2 linked regions of the Rhinolophus ferrumequinum genome follow. The protein of the gene in region 1 interacts with the protein of each later gene in a pairwise test. Links are inferred from orthologs where the notes say so. Each region holds a gene or a part of one and is shown on either strand. Other genes may lie near its edges.

Region 1 (7,711 bases):
CATTTGAAGGGAGTAGGAACGACCCTCCCCAGCTTCTACACTTTCAACTGCAGCAGAGAAGAGGAAACCTTAGAGGTCTGTGTGTTTCTGGCAAGATCCCCACCCCTGCCTAGTCATGACACACCCCCACTATCTGCCCTTCCACCATTAAAACCAATATCATTATGCCTTTAGCTTTATGTCAGTCTCTGCAAGAAGCCCCTATACCTAGGTCACCCCTCATCTGGGTACACTTCATCACTTACCCCTTTTTGATTCCATTTCCCCAACCTCTGACCTCTGGACAAGCAGTGAAATCCTCCGTATCCTCAAACTCTTCTCTTAACGGTTCCTTTACTTCCTTATTCTAAGTGGAACTTGATTCTTTCCTGAAGTCACTGCTTTTCCTGCATCTCTCTCTTGAGATGGCTAATGTACCACTGGGCCTGGAGGTCATGTGATGGTCTTCTTTGTTCCCCACTGCCATTTCTAAATCATCCTTCTCTCCTCTTCCCTAGAAGCACTCAGCTTGGAGTCTGGTGTCAATGGACCATACATCCATTAACTCTCCTTGCCATAATCATGTACTGACCCCCCCAGGTCATACTCCATCATTCCTTAATTAATTTAGATACTGACTCACTATCATTCTCTCCAACACTACTCCTGTCATAATTCTTAGTGATTTCAATATTCACACAGAAGATTTTTAAAACCCTGGTGTTGTAGTAAGGTTTCTCCTGAAAGTAGACCCTGAAACAAGGACTTCGGTTACAAATGGTTTATTTGGGAGATAACCCAGAAAGCAGGAACCAGGGAGCAAGAAGAATAAGATAAGGAGGAAAAGCCTCTGTAAAGGTGTGGCATTAAGGTCACTACCATGAATGAAAGAAACTTGAGTCCACTGAGACCTCTGCGAAGCATCCTGAGTGCCCCACAAAATTGTTTGCATGAGGACCAGAGGCTGACGCACTTATTCACTGGCTTCTGACCTGTTAGTTAAGGGTTGTTCTCAGGAGCTTTATCTTCCCCACACTTTGCTGTACTTTCCTGTGAACCTAGCAGGCTGCTGGGCCTTCAGAGAAGACCCTGAGGTGAAAGAAGAAAGGAGAGGTGCCCTTTTCGGGTGGGAAGCTGTCAGGGGAGTCTGAAATGTCCATCATAGCTGCTACTGAAATCAGAAGTAGATCAAGGGGATGTGACTAGGACACCATGAGAATGCCTGGCTTCTCAGTTCCCTGGCCTCGTCTGTCCCAGTGATCCTGTTCTCCACCCTACCTCACTACTGTCTCCCTGATCATAGCTTAGCCCTTGTCATTACCAATAACTGCAACCGATAACAGCCTAAGCTCAATGTCACCCTCCAGCCACCTGCTCCTATCTTCCCAACTTACTCCCTCTGGTATCTTCATTCCAACAACCCTTCGTCTCTCACCCATACAGTACTTTAATCCTACTATATTTTCAGTTTTTCACCCTCCAGATTCAATTTTAACCCCATGGTCAATCATCATACTCTTACACATATGCTCAACTCGCTGCAACATCCTCTGTCAACAAAACCCTAACCTGGATTGGAGCCTAGTGTGTATCAATTCAGTGCCTGCACTTGAGTGTCTGAATGTGGCTTTAGAACGAAACAGGTCCTGCTACTCAAGAGCAGTGAGACCTGAGGTGTCTTACTTAACCCTGCTGTCTTAGTTTCCTTAGCTATGCCAAGTAGTCGCAACTAAAATTCAGGGCCACTACTCTCAATTGGGTCCTTGGGACTGCCCAGGAATCAGAACGCATTTCCTCTATCTCTTCACTCTCCCTTCTATATTCTTTTCTCATTTCTTCTTAAACTTCAGAATATCTGTTGTTTAAGACATTTGCAAGAAAATGATTATGTAATATACTCGTATGTATAAATTGGACTGTGAGAGTTTCACTCTGGACCTGGTCCCATGGAAATCTTAGGATGGTTCTGTTCAGTTTCATAGTTGCTAGTGGGGTTTTCACTTCCTTGTCCAGGGCCCCATTTTCTAGAAGGGAGAGTGGAGCTTAGAAGTGTTTTGGACCATGGAGGGGGATGGTCATTCAACCAGAGCAGATTCATGGGCTGAGCGCAGACTTAAAGCACAGGTAACTGTCTTACAGGCAATATAGAGAAAGCTGCCTCCGAGATACCCTCTCTCAAGAAAGACAACTAACACACCTCTCAGCACAAGCAATGTGTGGCATTTCCTGGCACAGCAAAGAAGGATCTTCTGGCTTAGGAATAAGGATAGAAATTGATATAGGGATATGGTTAGATTCCGGTTAGGGTTAGGCTTAGGATTGGCTCCCATGGATCTTCCTGGATAGTCTTTTGAGACAGACTCTTTTTCTCCATGTGGTATACAGAGATCTGGGAGACCCCAACAATCATTCTCCTCCATCTCTTGGGGCTGTTTCTGTCCTCCCTCTTCCACTCCCAAATCTTGCAAACCCTTGGTGCCCCATCTAGTTTTTCACCAGTTCTCTAATCAATATACAGTGTATTGATTAAACTTTATATACTATCTTTACATGTAAAAAAGCTTTTTGTCTTTTGCTTTGCTTTTTACAAATCAAAAGCTTTGTTTTATAGCTGTTGTATTTAAAATAGACTTCCAGAGCCTATTGTGGAAGTAATAATCCCAAACATCGTGGACACAAGGGATGCATTAGGGCCTGCTGGTAATTGTTTGCATTTCTACAAGAAAGTGTGAAAAAAGTACGCACAAACATACTTTTCAGTAATTTATATCACACAGCTGAGTGAAAATAAAGATGTGTGGGAGTCTTGCCTTCAATTTGTAAAAATGCAACAAGTGTGAAGTGCAATAAAGTGAAGAGCAATAAAAAGAGGTATGCCTGTAGTGGGTACTCAAACAAGTATTAAATACTTAATTGGATTCTTTAAGTAGGGTCATTAATTAATTGATTTATTCAATTATTACATCATAGTGTCTTCGGACTTTTTTTAGGGTACATAAAACTGATTATAATTTAATCAAGAGTCTTACATTTTAAATTAAGCAGTAGAGTTGGACTACAGTTGAAGATAACCCAGTTTCACAGGAAAAGGGAACCATGATTATATAAAGTTTATTCTGGACTAGGCCTTTTTCTCTGACCCAGTTGAGTGACTTTGGCAGGATAACCTCTCTGAGCCTCATTTTTGTCCTCTGTAGAACAAAGGTGACCTCTATGGTAAGAGTCATCCCTGTGTTAACATTCTGCCAGAACACACAGGCATAGTGGCTCTGAATCCTTGTCCTACCATTTACTCATTGTTTAATAGTGTATTGCTCTCTACTAAGTCATTTGTAAAATGGAGACACCCAGATGGCATGAAAGTTATGTTGATTTAGTGAAGTATTACATAAGCTTTCCAAATTACAGTTCTGCTTCTATTCACTCCATAGCAGTGAGAGTTAAAATGGGAGTTTGATCATGCCATTCCTGTGTTCAAAAGCCTGCAATGATTCCCTATCTCACTCAGGTAAAAGCCAGTCTTTATGGGTGGTCTACAAGGCCCTATATAATCTTCTGATCGCCTTATTCTCTGCCCTGAACACACCAACCTTCTCACTATTTCTCGGATACTCTTGGCAACCTACTCTCTGTGCTTCCCCTCTCTGGGATACTCTTCTCCCACAAATGACCTGGCTTCTTCCTTACCTCTTTCAAGTCTTTGCTCAAATGCCATCTTCTCAGTGAGGACTACTTGAATCACTGTATTTAAAATTTCCAACTTCATCCTTCCCTTCCGTTTTATTTTACTACATAGCTCTTATTTACTTCCAACATATCATGAATGCTAGTAAAAATGTATAATACAATACCAGGTATATTGTAGGTTGCACATATAAATTATATTCTCTTCCTTTGGCCAGTCCCTTGTGATCTGAAGGGATAATGCTTGGGGGCTTATGGTTTAGGATCTTCTGGGACAACGCCTTCAGGAAATCCAAGGTTAACGTTCATTGCCCAAACAGTCTTTCATAGATTATTTTAGTGCGAGACACACTTGAATAGAAATATTAATAGTTAAGGCCCTTTCTGCCATGTAAGATCTCTGCAACTTAAAAGAGGGCCCTCACCCAACCATGCTGGCATTCTGATCTCCGACTTCCTGCCTCCAGAACAGAGAAATAAGTTTCTGTTGTCTATTAAAAAAATAGTTAATAGTCAACATTTCATTCATTCATGTATTCATTCATTCATGTATTCATCCAACACATATCTATGGGGCGGTTTCTATGGCCAGTTCTTATGGAAGACAGCTGTTACAAGCATTTCATTGGGGTAAGATACCTCCCTTAACACTCAAGTCGCGGGATTTGGGGCGGGGAATAAAGGGTCTGGCCTGGTCTCGCCAGCAGAGGGCGTGATCCCACCCTCTTTGCAGCCTCTCGGCCCACCAAGGCTTCCAGGCTCCCACGCTCGCTCCCGAGCGCGCCCCCGCCCGCCGCGTCACGTGATGCGGCGGTGGAACCTGAGCTGCCGGGCCTAAGCCGAGCTAAATTCGTTGCCGGTGGCCGCTGCGGGTGCAACCACAAAGGCTAATCCGAAGAAGTGGGGAGGGTCGTGGAGTCGATGCTTCCTCTTCCAATTCAGGTCGGCTCCCGTTACCTTCTCACCATTCACCGTCGCCGTCTCCCTGAGCGTTTGCATGAGCTCTTTCGTGTGGGGAAGCTCCGGTGACCATGTAGGGGGAAAGAGTGAGGAAGCCTGGGACGAAGTCAGCGCTGTCTGCACGCCGCCCGGCGCCCACCACACCCCCGGTGCGGGCCGGTGGGCCCGTCGGCCCTGGTGGGACAACTCCGGCCTCCGGTTGTGGCCTGGCCCGGGGCGCCACGAAATCTCGCTACGTCTCGCGAGAATCTAAGTTGAAGGAACATGGCGACGTCTCATCTGTTAAAGGTAAGACCCTCAGGCTAGCTTGGCTTTTACTTCGCGACCGCTGGGTTCAGCTCTTTGGGAAAGGTTCGGATCGGGTTTAGGGGCAAATTGTAGGAGTGTTCAGGGGTTGTCTACCGGAAGGGAGGCCGGGGAAGCTGCCGCCCAGGACCGGAACGCGGGTCCCTGGCCTTGGGGTCGAGAGGCTCTGGTTGTCCCTCGGGCCGGTTGACCGGTGTGTGAAAGGCCCAGCTGAGGGATGGCGGGTAGCGATGCTTTCAATGGACCAGCTCTGGCCTCGGACGGGAGATGAATGGTGGTGCTTTGCCGTGACCGATTGGGCAGTTAGTACTCTTAGGGTCTCGGTTTGTTCTGAAGCGAGAGTCTAAGACGTATAAAAGGAAAATCCAAGAAAATGCTGCCTGACATAGGGATCAATGACGACCCCCACCTCCTTAATTTCAGTTCTTATTCTCTCTGCACGGAATTCTAAGTCAGACGGCAAGCACTGCCATCCACTCCACTCCCGCCGTCCCTTTCTGCACGCTGTACTTTCCCTCCTACTCTCCCATTCTCGAGTTCATATTTTACCCTTTTTTCCTTAGGAAACTGCTCCTCAGCCCCACTACAGCACACAACCAGATGACTACGGTACTGAGGAAGTGCTGCCATCGCTTTAGGGCTTAGGAAAGTTACCTTATCAAAGAAAACGGTTAGTTAGTTTTATATATTTGGGATAGCAAGGGAGATCTAGAGTCAGGAGCAGATTCTCTACTATCAATTAAAACGTTTGGAGGAAAACGAGAAAAGGCACTAATCTGTTTATTCTGTGCTTGTGTTTATAGTAGGAACGTTTTGCCTTAAAAGTATTTACTGAATTGGTCTGATTAGCTCAGGGAACATATATACAAAGGATGAAGTACTCCCCTCGAACCCATCATTATACATTCAGGCCGTGAGGATGGATAGTGGAAAATAATTGAATAGAAAATATGTTAAAATATACCGGAACCTCACTCATGTCCTTTTTTAGACTACTGATGTTAACTGCCTGATAGATGGGACTGTCCTATAAAATGTAGAACTGTTTTAACTAACTTAAGAGGCAATAATATTATCTTCCTTTAAATGGGGGAGGGGCCTAGAACTAGACTGAATTTCAGCCACTTAGAAGCTGTGTGACTTCCGGCAAGTTTCTTAATCTCGGCCTAGGTTTCCTCATCAATGAAATGGAATTATTAATAGAACCTGTTTCATAGGAGCGTTTTGAAGATTGAGTTAATGTATATAAAATGGTTAAAACCGTGACTGGGACTTAATTAGTACACAATACACCTAAATTACTAGAATCACTACTCTTGTTTCTCTAAGAAAACTAAATAACGGAATTGAGTAACCCATCCTACTGGACTCGTCTTTTGTAACATTATTGCAAATTTTAATATATTAGTTCAGAAAGAAAACTTGTTTAACTTCTAAAGACTCCTATTAAAGCGTCTGCATGATTACATAAGCAATCGCTTATGCTATTAATTGAAATCATGAAAAAAATAATTGGGTTCCTGATTCTTTGAATTTTTGACTGGATTACATGCATATACAGCAGTCTTTCCCCACCCCCCAATTATCTCAGCAAAGAGCCTTTTACTTTATTCTACCCCATACAAAGCTTTGCAAAGGATTGTTGGGAGGAGATACAAGTCTGAAGTTATATCAGTCAACACTACTAAGTGGTTACTTTGTAGAGATTATGAATCTACATCTACAGCATACATCTATAGAATAAAAAAGCTGCTTGAATATATAGAAAATGGACACTTAGTGTTTAGGTTAAAAGGATAACAAGAATTCAGAAGTTCTGTAATTCAAACAACTTTTATAAATAAAAGGAAGGTGGCAGTGCTTTGAAAAAACTGGTAAATTCCTCAGTCATTCTAGTGAACGTGAAAACAGATGCCAAAGATGCACTGGGAAAATTTCAATAAAGTTGTTTTATGAAATGTTGAAAGGGGGAAAAAGAATTTTTAAATATTATTTTATATCCTATGTGATTTTAAATATGTACAACTAAGGGAATATAATGGACAATGTAAATACACGTTTAATTCTTTTATCTGTATCACCAAAAGTTTACATATTTAAATTGGCCGGAAATCTTTCCTTCTCTTCTTATTGGGGGGAAGGGGAATTGCCCTAAATTCTTATATCTAGAATTAACTAATTAAAAACTGGGAAGTTTGTCTTGGAGAAATGTAATGTGACCTTGCCAGGGTGGAGCCATAACATAAGTCAGAGGGTCATTTAAATTCAAGGCTAGTGCTGCGTTGAACAGAGACAGGGCTGGCTAGGAAGTGGCCACGTTAGCCTCATTTCCTTTCTTGACAGAATTCATAGACTGGTTCCTTAGAACACTGCCTGAGACATTGTGTAATTAGATTTCACCACAGCATATTTGACAGAATTATCATGTCCTATGACCAAAATGGAGGTATGTGGGCGAGGTGAGAATACAAGTAGAATTTGATTCATTATCAGTTAAACAACTGTACCTGAAGGGAGGCCTTTACCGTCCTGCTGAAAGATAATGTCCTCTACCTATTTACCAGTAACTTGGATTAGGTTAAGTTTATTGAATTTGTGGATGACAGAGTTCAGAGGAATGTGTTATGAAAGATAATAAGAAGCTAATATGAAAGCCAATATGTTATGAAAGATAACAAGATTCAAAACTTTGATGTGGAACTTATAAGTCAGAACCCAATGTAATAAAAACCACCTACTTTTTTTATTTTGGAATTTGTAATAATTGTATTCTCCATTTAAA
Region 2 (7,801 bases), on another chromosome or scaffold:
TCTTCAAAGCAGTTCAAGGTCAAAGAGTTTGAATTTTGGTGCCCGACAAACTTAGCTTTGACTCCTGGCTAGGTCACAAATGCCCCTTGGGTAAGTCACAAATCCTCAGTTTCCTCGTTTGTAAAATGGAGATTCATTATATGGTATCTATATTGTAGGATTGTTTTAAGGATAAAGTTGATAGCTAATGCAAATTGCTTAGCACAGTGCCTGGCACATTTAAGAGCTCAAGAGTTGGTATTATTACTGTCGTCATTGCTGTTGTTATCCTTACTTTGACCGATCAATCCTCCTTAGTTAACAGAGGAGGAACCAGGCCTGGCCAGAGTCATGCAGTGAGCCTTGGGCATGGAGGAAAGGGGGCCGGCACCCAGGTATTCAGACTTGCAGTGCAGGCCAGTGTGGGCTGTGGAGAGAGCAGACCTTGGTTTACATTGTGGGTTTGTCACCTTCCACTCTTGAGCTAGTTGCTCAACCTCTCTGAGCCTTGGGTTCTCTATCCTTAAAATGTCTCGAGATTGTTGGAAGGTGGAGAGATGAAGTGTATAAAGGTAGCACAGAGCTGGGACATCTAAAGGCACTCGAGGAGCAACAGTTCTCACCCCTGTGTGGTGCTTTCTTAATCTTCTCTACTTAATCCAGTGGTTTTTAATCTCCCCCCCACCCTCCCCACAATGAGAGGAAGGAGATATGGACCCTTTGAGAATTTGTCATCTGTAGACACCCAAACTCAGAGGGTTCATAGACCTCTGCTGACACTGGGGATGAAAATGAATCCATACTCAATCTAATAGGTCCGTCTCTCCTCCTCTCGCCTTCTCCTTCCCTCCTCCCCCTTTCCCTTCCTGTCTGGCCCCATCAGCTCCAGGCTAGCTGCCTTTAACTCACAATTTTTCTAACAACATCTTTGTTCCAAGGGCATTCTCAGCAAAGACTACAACCACATTCTCAGTTTCTGGGGCTGAGGACATGGTATCACTTAAATTTCCCAAGCATCAATTTCCTTCTCTGTAAAATAGACACTGAGGATTAATTAAGACAACGTTACTGGTTGATAGCACTTTGCTGTCCACACACATAGTCTCAGTTAACCTACACAGTAACTCTATGAGGTAGATCTTTCATTCAACTCAGTCAATATTTATTGAGTGCGTACTATGTTCTAGGCAGTTTTAGCCACAGCGATGCCTCATGGAGCTTACATCATGGGCAGAAAGGATTAAAAACATGAACACTAAATAAGGTCATTTCAAATTGTGATAAATGCTATAACAAAATTAAAACAAGATAAAAGAGCTAAGGGAAGGCATTTAGGTCTTTATCTGGATACAATTTATATAAATTCACAGTATCAAAGTATCAGTATGTACTTGTTACTCTTTGATTTTTATGGTACCTTTTTTTCCTGGTAAATTCCTTCTCCAAGGGTGGCTTTCCTTGGGCGTTATAGAATGCTGTAGTCTGCCCTCGTTAGACAAAGGGTCTTAGGATTTCTAGGCCTGATATCCTTAAATTGTCAGTGGGGATTTAACCCAACTTCAAGGCTGTCTGTGAAAGGTGTGGATTTTGAATCTCAGACACCTTTCGCTGGAGCTGGCAGTCTCCAGTTGCATTACTGTATTTGAGGAAGGCAAATCCAGCCTGTGAAATCCAGAAAAATGCCACCCCTAAGTAAATAACCAACCGAACATGTCTGAAGGATGTGAAACTAAGATGAATATAATCAATTCAGAAAAATGAGCCCATTGAGGGAAGAGAACAGAGGCAACAGCTGGGCAGGACAGACTGCCCAGATGGAGGGTTTCATACTCTCCATTACAGCAGAACACAATATTCGCTTTACTAAGGCCATGAATTTTCTCCAATAATTGCTCCTTTTAAAAAAAAATACCTATTGTATGCCAGTTACTTATAACATATTAATAAGCCTCACAAGAAATCTGTAAAGTAGGAGGAAACAATGTCAGTGAGTTTAAGTAACTTGACGAGCCACGGTTAGCCTGGTAGAATTGAGTGTTGGAGCTCAGGTTGTCACTGATCCCCAACCCTGTGTCCTTTACACCCACCATCCACCAACCTCAGAGGCTGCCTACTTGGTAAGACAGAGGAGTGGCAGAGCCCGGCCGGGAGAGGTCCATGGGGAAGCCCTCCCCACACCAGTATTCCACACTCAATACACCCGTAGAATCTCACTTGACCATTTCATGAAAGGCTGGGGCTTCTTTCTTCTACTGAGGACAAGATGGTTGCCCGGTTTGTTTTTCTCACTTGTCTTTCAGTGTTTTAAATGACTCTAGTACCAGCCAGCCTGGGATTGCTCTTTTCCAAAATTAAAATACTTTTAAGTTATCTTCATTAATAAGTAGCCCATATTTGTTGCCAAAACTCAGAAGTGTGTATAGCAGATGAGAGCTTCCCTGCCCATCTTTCTCCCACATTTAGTATGGCCTTAAATGTGCCTTCTGGGCAGAAGGAGATGGATCTTTTAATTCCTCTCATAGGGGAAGTTATCGTGCTGGTAAAAGAGCTACGGAGTCCCGTCAGGTTTCAGATGATACTCTGGTCCAGCCTTGAGTTGAATAATTAGTTCAGTTTTTAACAAACCTTCATGGCATGTCACCTGTGTGCTAGGTGTTGCTGATCCAAGATGGACAAAACAGCCTCTGACCTGGGGAACTCATTCTGTTGTTGAATACCCTTGTGTAAACCAAGGATTACAGTGGTGATCCCCTAATGAACATATACAGAGTGCCATTTTTAGAAGTAGTTTAAAACTTTCTTTTCAATCAGAATGACACATACATAATTAACTGATCAGAAAAGTAGTCATAATATTCCAGCGTAAGAGTACTTTGCAGGTAAGCCCGACTCAGGCTGACATAGCTGGGGTGGAGGGCTGGGGTGCACCCTCTCCAGAAACCCCCAGCAGCATGCGCTGTTTCTTTTCATTCTGGTTGTTGAGCTTTCCCTGGATACCATGCGCAAAATGTGCCATGTGTGCAGAGGATATGCCAGGTCAGTTAGTCAGAGATTCTGCTTCGAGAATCGGCCCGTTTTCCATTGCACCAGTGCTACATTTTCAAAATGGAAGGAATTTAAAATGTAAAAGCATTTGCTGTGCAGAGGAGGGAGACTGCAGGGCTGGGATCAGAATCCAAGTCTCCTCACACCCAGTTTGATGCTTTTTCCATTACAGCCCACCATTGAGTCTTAAGGCACCAAGTGGGTGGGCATTAATCTTGTATGGACTTTTTATCCAGTGCTGATGATGTCAACTGGACTGTGCCAGCAGCAGAGATTTTACATTGGGCAGGTCAGTCACTGCATTTGATAAACACCCCATTGACAAGACAGAAAAACAAATGGACAGTGTGTGTACACCTTGACGAGGGTCAGTTGCAGCAGGAGGGGCACCAGGCAGAGGGGTGGGGACAGTGCAAGGAGGGCTTCTTAGCATAGTGAGTGTATAAAAGCACATTTGAAGAAACAGCTTATATTTTCTTTTTCCAGATCTGGCACCTGGAAGAGTCTGGTCAGGTACATTGCCAAGTTGCTGCTCAGATTTGACTAGGATCTAACCTGATCTACCCAAAGGAGATGTAATCAATGCTGGTATTTTAGGTCTGTTTTCTACTGTTTAATTGTTCTTTTTAGTGGTAATAATAGTAATAGTAAAATTTAGTACTTGTAGGATGAAAGTAAATGCCCTCAAGGATGGTGTCTTGGACTGGTCTGATTCAGGCAGGGCCTACTGCTTCAGAGGAAACATTCATTCATTCATTCATTCATTCAAGAAATATTTAGTTGGTACCTATGTACCAGACACTGATTTTGGGGAAAGTGAGAGACACACGGGCTATTTATTCCCTCATGTAGCTAAGCTGTTTGACTTTTCACACATCCCTTTCTCTGGGCTCAAATCCTCGACCTATCTATTCAGAGGTGTGTGCTCACAGTGGACCTTAGACTATTTATATTCCAATTCACCTCTTCCTGTTATGTGATCACATGCAAGTTAATTTGGTCTTCCTGAGCCTCGGTTTCCTCGTCTGTAAAGTGGGGATAATATAAGTCGTTTCATGAAGCTGTATCTAGGGTGAAATTAAGATAGCTCAACCACCAACTCTTAGTGCGCCCAACCCAGGGTGGTCGCTATCGTTAATCCCTGTTGATTCCCTGAGCGGAGGACCAACTCCGGAACCACAGGTGCTAATTAGGGCGTGGCTCACAGCCCCCCGGGTGGAGGAATAGGGTTTATAAAGCCAGGTTCTGGCGCTGTGGCCTTATTCCGTCTTGACTACCGTAGACACCGGAGAGGTCTTCCAGGCTTTGGCCCCGCTCCGCACACCAAGGGCCAGAAGGCCCCGGAGTGGCCAGCGCGGGGCCAGCGCGCCGGGACCAAGCGGGCCTCTCTCGGTGCGCGCGGCCGCCGAGCGGCGCTGGGGACCGGGTCCCCCACCCTGGGGGCGGGGCCTGCAGCCGGCCCGGTCCCCGCGCCCCGCGCCCCGCGCTCCCCCACCCCGCCGAGGCCCGGAAGGGGCCAGTCCCGCTTCCGTCTCCGCCGGGGATGCACGGAGGGCGGAGCTGCGGCCCGAGGACGCGACGCGAGCCCAGTTCCGGCGAGGAGGCCGCGCCAGTGACAGCGATGGCGGCGGAGTCGGCGCTCCAAGTTGTGGAGAAGCTGCAGGCGCGCCTGACTGCGAACCCGGACCCGAAGAAGGTGAGCGAGTGGGCAGCGGGGGGCGAGGCGGGCGTTGGGCGCGGCGCGGCCCCGTAACGGTCGCGGGCCCGGGCGCGGCCCCCTCCCGGCCCGCCGGGGCGCGGGGCTCGGACCCGGAGCCAGGCCCCGCCGCGCTCGCAGCCGGGCGCCGGGGAGTCCGCGGCCCAGGCCGTGGGACCCCGTACGTCGAGCCTCGGTGGCCCGGGGCCTCCCTGCGCCCGGGGCCCGGGCCTGGGTTCCCGCGGGCTCTCGGCGGGCAGGGGCGCGCTCTGTGGGCACCGCGTGCCGACCTGGCTCCAGGAGCCTCCCTGGGCGTTTGGGGCCAGCTGTTTCCTGTCGGGAGAGCTCGCCTGGAGTTAACTCCGGCCCTCTCCGCCTCTCCCTGTGAAGTGTTTCTGATTTCTTAGTGTCTTTTGATGTTTGTTCGTGGGGAGGAGGTGATTCTGCCTGTGCGTGATGGAGTCTAGACTCGGTGTGTGGTCCCTGCGTCTCTAAGAGACGTTTTTATTGCTTTCCGGCTTGATGTTAGAACATGGACCTTTTCGCTTTCTCAGTAATTCCCTTTCAAAACAAGACAAAATAAGCCTCACGCACGTCACCTAGCTGTGCCCAAAAATACGCCCAAAAACTGAGGTTGTAGTTAGGGGAAAACAGAGAGGTTAGCAGTTGCAGGTAGATTTCCTTCTGGCCTTGAAAAAAGGTAAGAGCTACCGTTTCTCATTTTGCAGCGAGTGGTTTGCAACCGTTTTTAATTGTACTCAGCTAGTTTTGTTTTCTAAACTGTTTTAAGTTAAATGCGTTCTTCTCTCTCTCCGACTTTTTGTTACCCCGCTTATTGGTGTCTGGGAGAAGGGTGGATGTTAGGTGTTTTTTAATTGAAATACACAGATGAAAACACCCAAGGTGTCTGACATTCTCTGTCAGCATTCTAGCTAACATGTACATACAGTTCTAAGAGTGGGATCTCTGAGTCCCCGAGTGCGTTTTGAGAAAAGGAAATAATCGAGGAGGCAGTTAAGATAAAGTGGTGGTGAGATTGGGGTTCTAATCCATTTACCAGCCATGGACCAAGGGGAGGTGAACCTGTTTCCTCACCCGCTTGTTCTGAAGATGGAACTAAAAGGCAGAAGCATCAGGCTCATGGGAAGTGCTCAGTAGATACTAATCATCACTCTTCACAGTTTTCTTGAAGGGCCCCTTTCTCTTCATCTTGTCCCCTGCTTGTCATAGGTGAGATTTTTTCCCCCCTCCATTTCTAAAAGCTGCACACAGCATCTCACCATCAGGCCACTTTTTAACTCTTTTCATTCATACCTAGCTCAAAGATCCACTTCTTTAGGAAGCCATTTTAGTTTTCAATCTGAAAACTTAAATGCTTTCAATTGTTTTGTGTTATATTTTCTATTGCGGCTTCATTACCTAGTGGCCAGGCATATTTACAAGTTTCTTTTTACAATAACCCTTTGTGGACAGCTAATAAATGGCCATTATTTCTGAATACGAGTTTGTTTTCCTAAACACTGTAGGTTTGTAACTGATCTTTAAAAGCTTAAAACAGTATTATGTAAATCCACCCCCAGCCCTAATTTGATCTTGTTTTCAGGTTGGAAAAAATGCACCATGTAGTATCTACAGTTGTTCTTCCATTAGGATTTAAAATTTGAAGTAGCTTTTCTAGTAGTTGATGTGCATGAAATTTCCAATTGGGAAAAACGTTTGTTTGCCTTCTCATCCTGCTTGAACTATTAGTAGTTTTTGTGAGTATTTAGGCTTTCTCTTCCCAGATAGAAAAATCACCCTGAACTTCCAGCTTTGCATTATGAAGTGAGCATTAAGACGATGAGAAAATGTTGGGAGATCATTGCTGCAAAGGGCACAGTAGTTGGCATTCAGAAATGAGCTAACTGCAGGGAGAAAACTGCAAGCTGGCACGCTGGCCTTCTCCTCAACCTTCTGTTAACCCAACAAGCTCCCACAGGTTGTTCTTGAAATTGCAAGATGATTATATAGGAGTATTGAATTTGCAACTAAATCCTGATTTCAAACCATCATTAAACAAAGGGTGGATTCCACACCTATGTTCATGGATTTTCTGGCATTAAACATTGGTGTTTAACTGAAACTGTTTTCGCTTTAAGTCCATCTGAAACCCAGGCTTACTTGGGGGAAAGGTATCAGGCGGAGGCCAGGGTCACTTGGTTCCTACTATTTAATTGGAAACAATTTTCATGGCTGGTGAAGTTACCTGTCCTGTGTTACGTTTGAATGTGAAAATTACGCAGAACACAGTCCGATGGCAAGTGGAGAATGGGATCACCATTATGAACATCTTCTGCTCTTTGGGTTGAAGGAGTGTGCAAAGGACAACTGAAATTCCTAAGCATGCATTGTGCAAATGTTTGACATTTCTCAATGAGCTGTTATCAGTTCTTGCAAACTCTACAATTGGTCTGTTGGTTTGATAACAGCAAGTTTCCATCTACCTGAGGATGTCCAAAGTGCTTTTACCTTGTTACTGCTGTTTTTTCTTGAACATCATTGAAAACAGAGAGGCTCTGAAGCCCTTTTTATCTTATGTTGAGCTAAATCATTTTGAAAATCTCCAGAGTTTTTGTTTTGTCTGCTTTTAAGTCGTCCCGACTAACCCAAAGCAAAGCAGAAAGGCAGCATTTACTCCTCCGGTTAGTGCTAGGCTTTGAGATTTTCAAAGTGACTTCAGGCTCCATCCTTAATGTTGGCTTCGTAGAGGTCCTGAGGATCCTTTGTCCCCGTGGAGATCTCCTTCACACTGTGGCCTCTAGACTGTCTAACAACGGAATACTGTGGAGGCACTCTTTGGCTTTGGGGTATGCTGAGAGGCACGTGAGCTACAGCTCTCTTTTCTCTTCCTAGTTTCTAAGGACAGTGTTAGGTTGGATGTGTCTCCTGGCCTTGCAGTACATACTGTGGCAGACACAATTGACTTACTAGCTCGTGAGGCAGGTTATCTCACCTCACCGAGCTCGGCTTAAATAACTGTAAAACAGGGTGAATAATACCCACTTTATAGAGGTGGTCAGTGAGGATGAAATGAGGTAGCAC

Evidence for each region.
Region 2: the proteins of CUL5 (region 1) and ELOA come close enough for resonance energy transfer, tested with the Homo sapiens proteins (3 studies listed by BioGRID). The link is inferred for Rhinolophus ferrumequinum from reciprocal best matches to the Homo sapiens genes CUL5 and ELOA.

Annotation. Positions count from the first base shown.
Region 1 is NC_046294.1:76,756,405-76,764,115, forward strand, and holds the start of CUL5 (cullin-5), read left to right. Parts: upstream 1-4,274; 5' UTR 4,275-4,887; coding exon 4,888-4,911; intron 4,912-5,492; exon of another isoform or gene 5,493-5,599; intron 5,600-7,711. UniProt on the Homo sapiens protein: Core component of multiple cullin-5-RING E3 ubiquitin-protein ligase complexes (ECS complexes, also named CRL5 complexes), which mediate the ubiquitination and subsequent proteasomal degradation of target proteins.
Region 2 is NC_046292.1:16,210,194-16,217,994, forward strand, and holds the start of ELOA (elongin-A), read left to right. Parts: upstream 1-4,527; 5' UTR 4,528-4,567; coding exon 4,568-4,720; intron 4,721-7,801. UniProt on the Homo sapiens protein: SIII, also known as elongin, is a general transcription elongation factor that increases the RNA polymerase II transcription elongation past template-encoded arresting sites.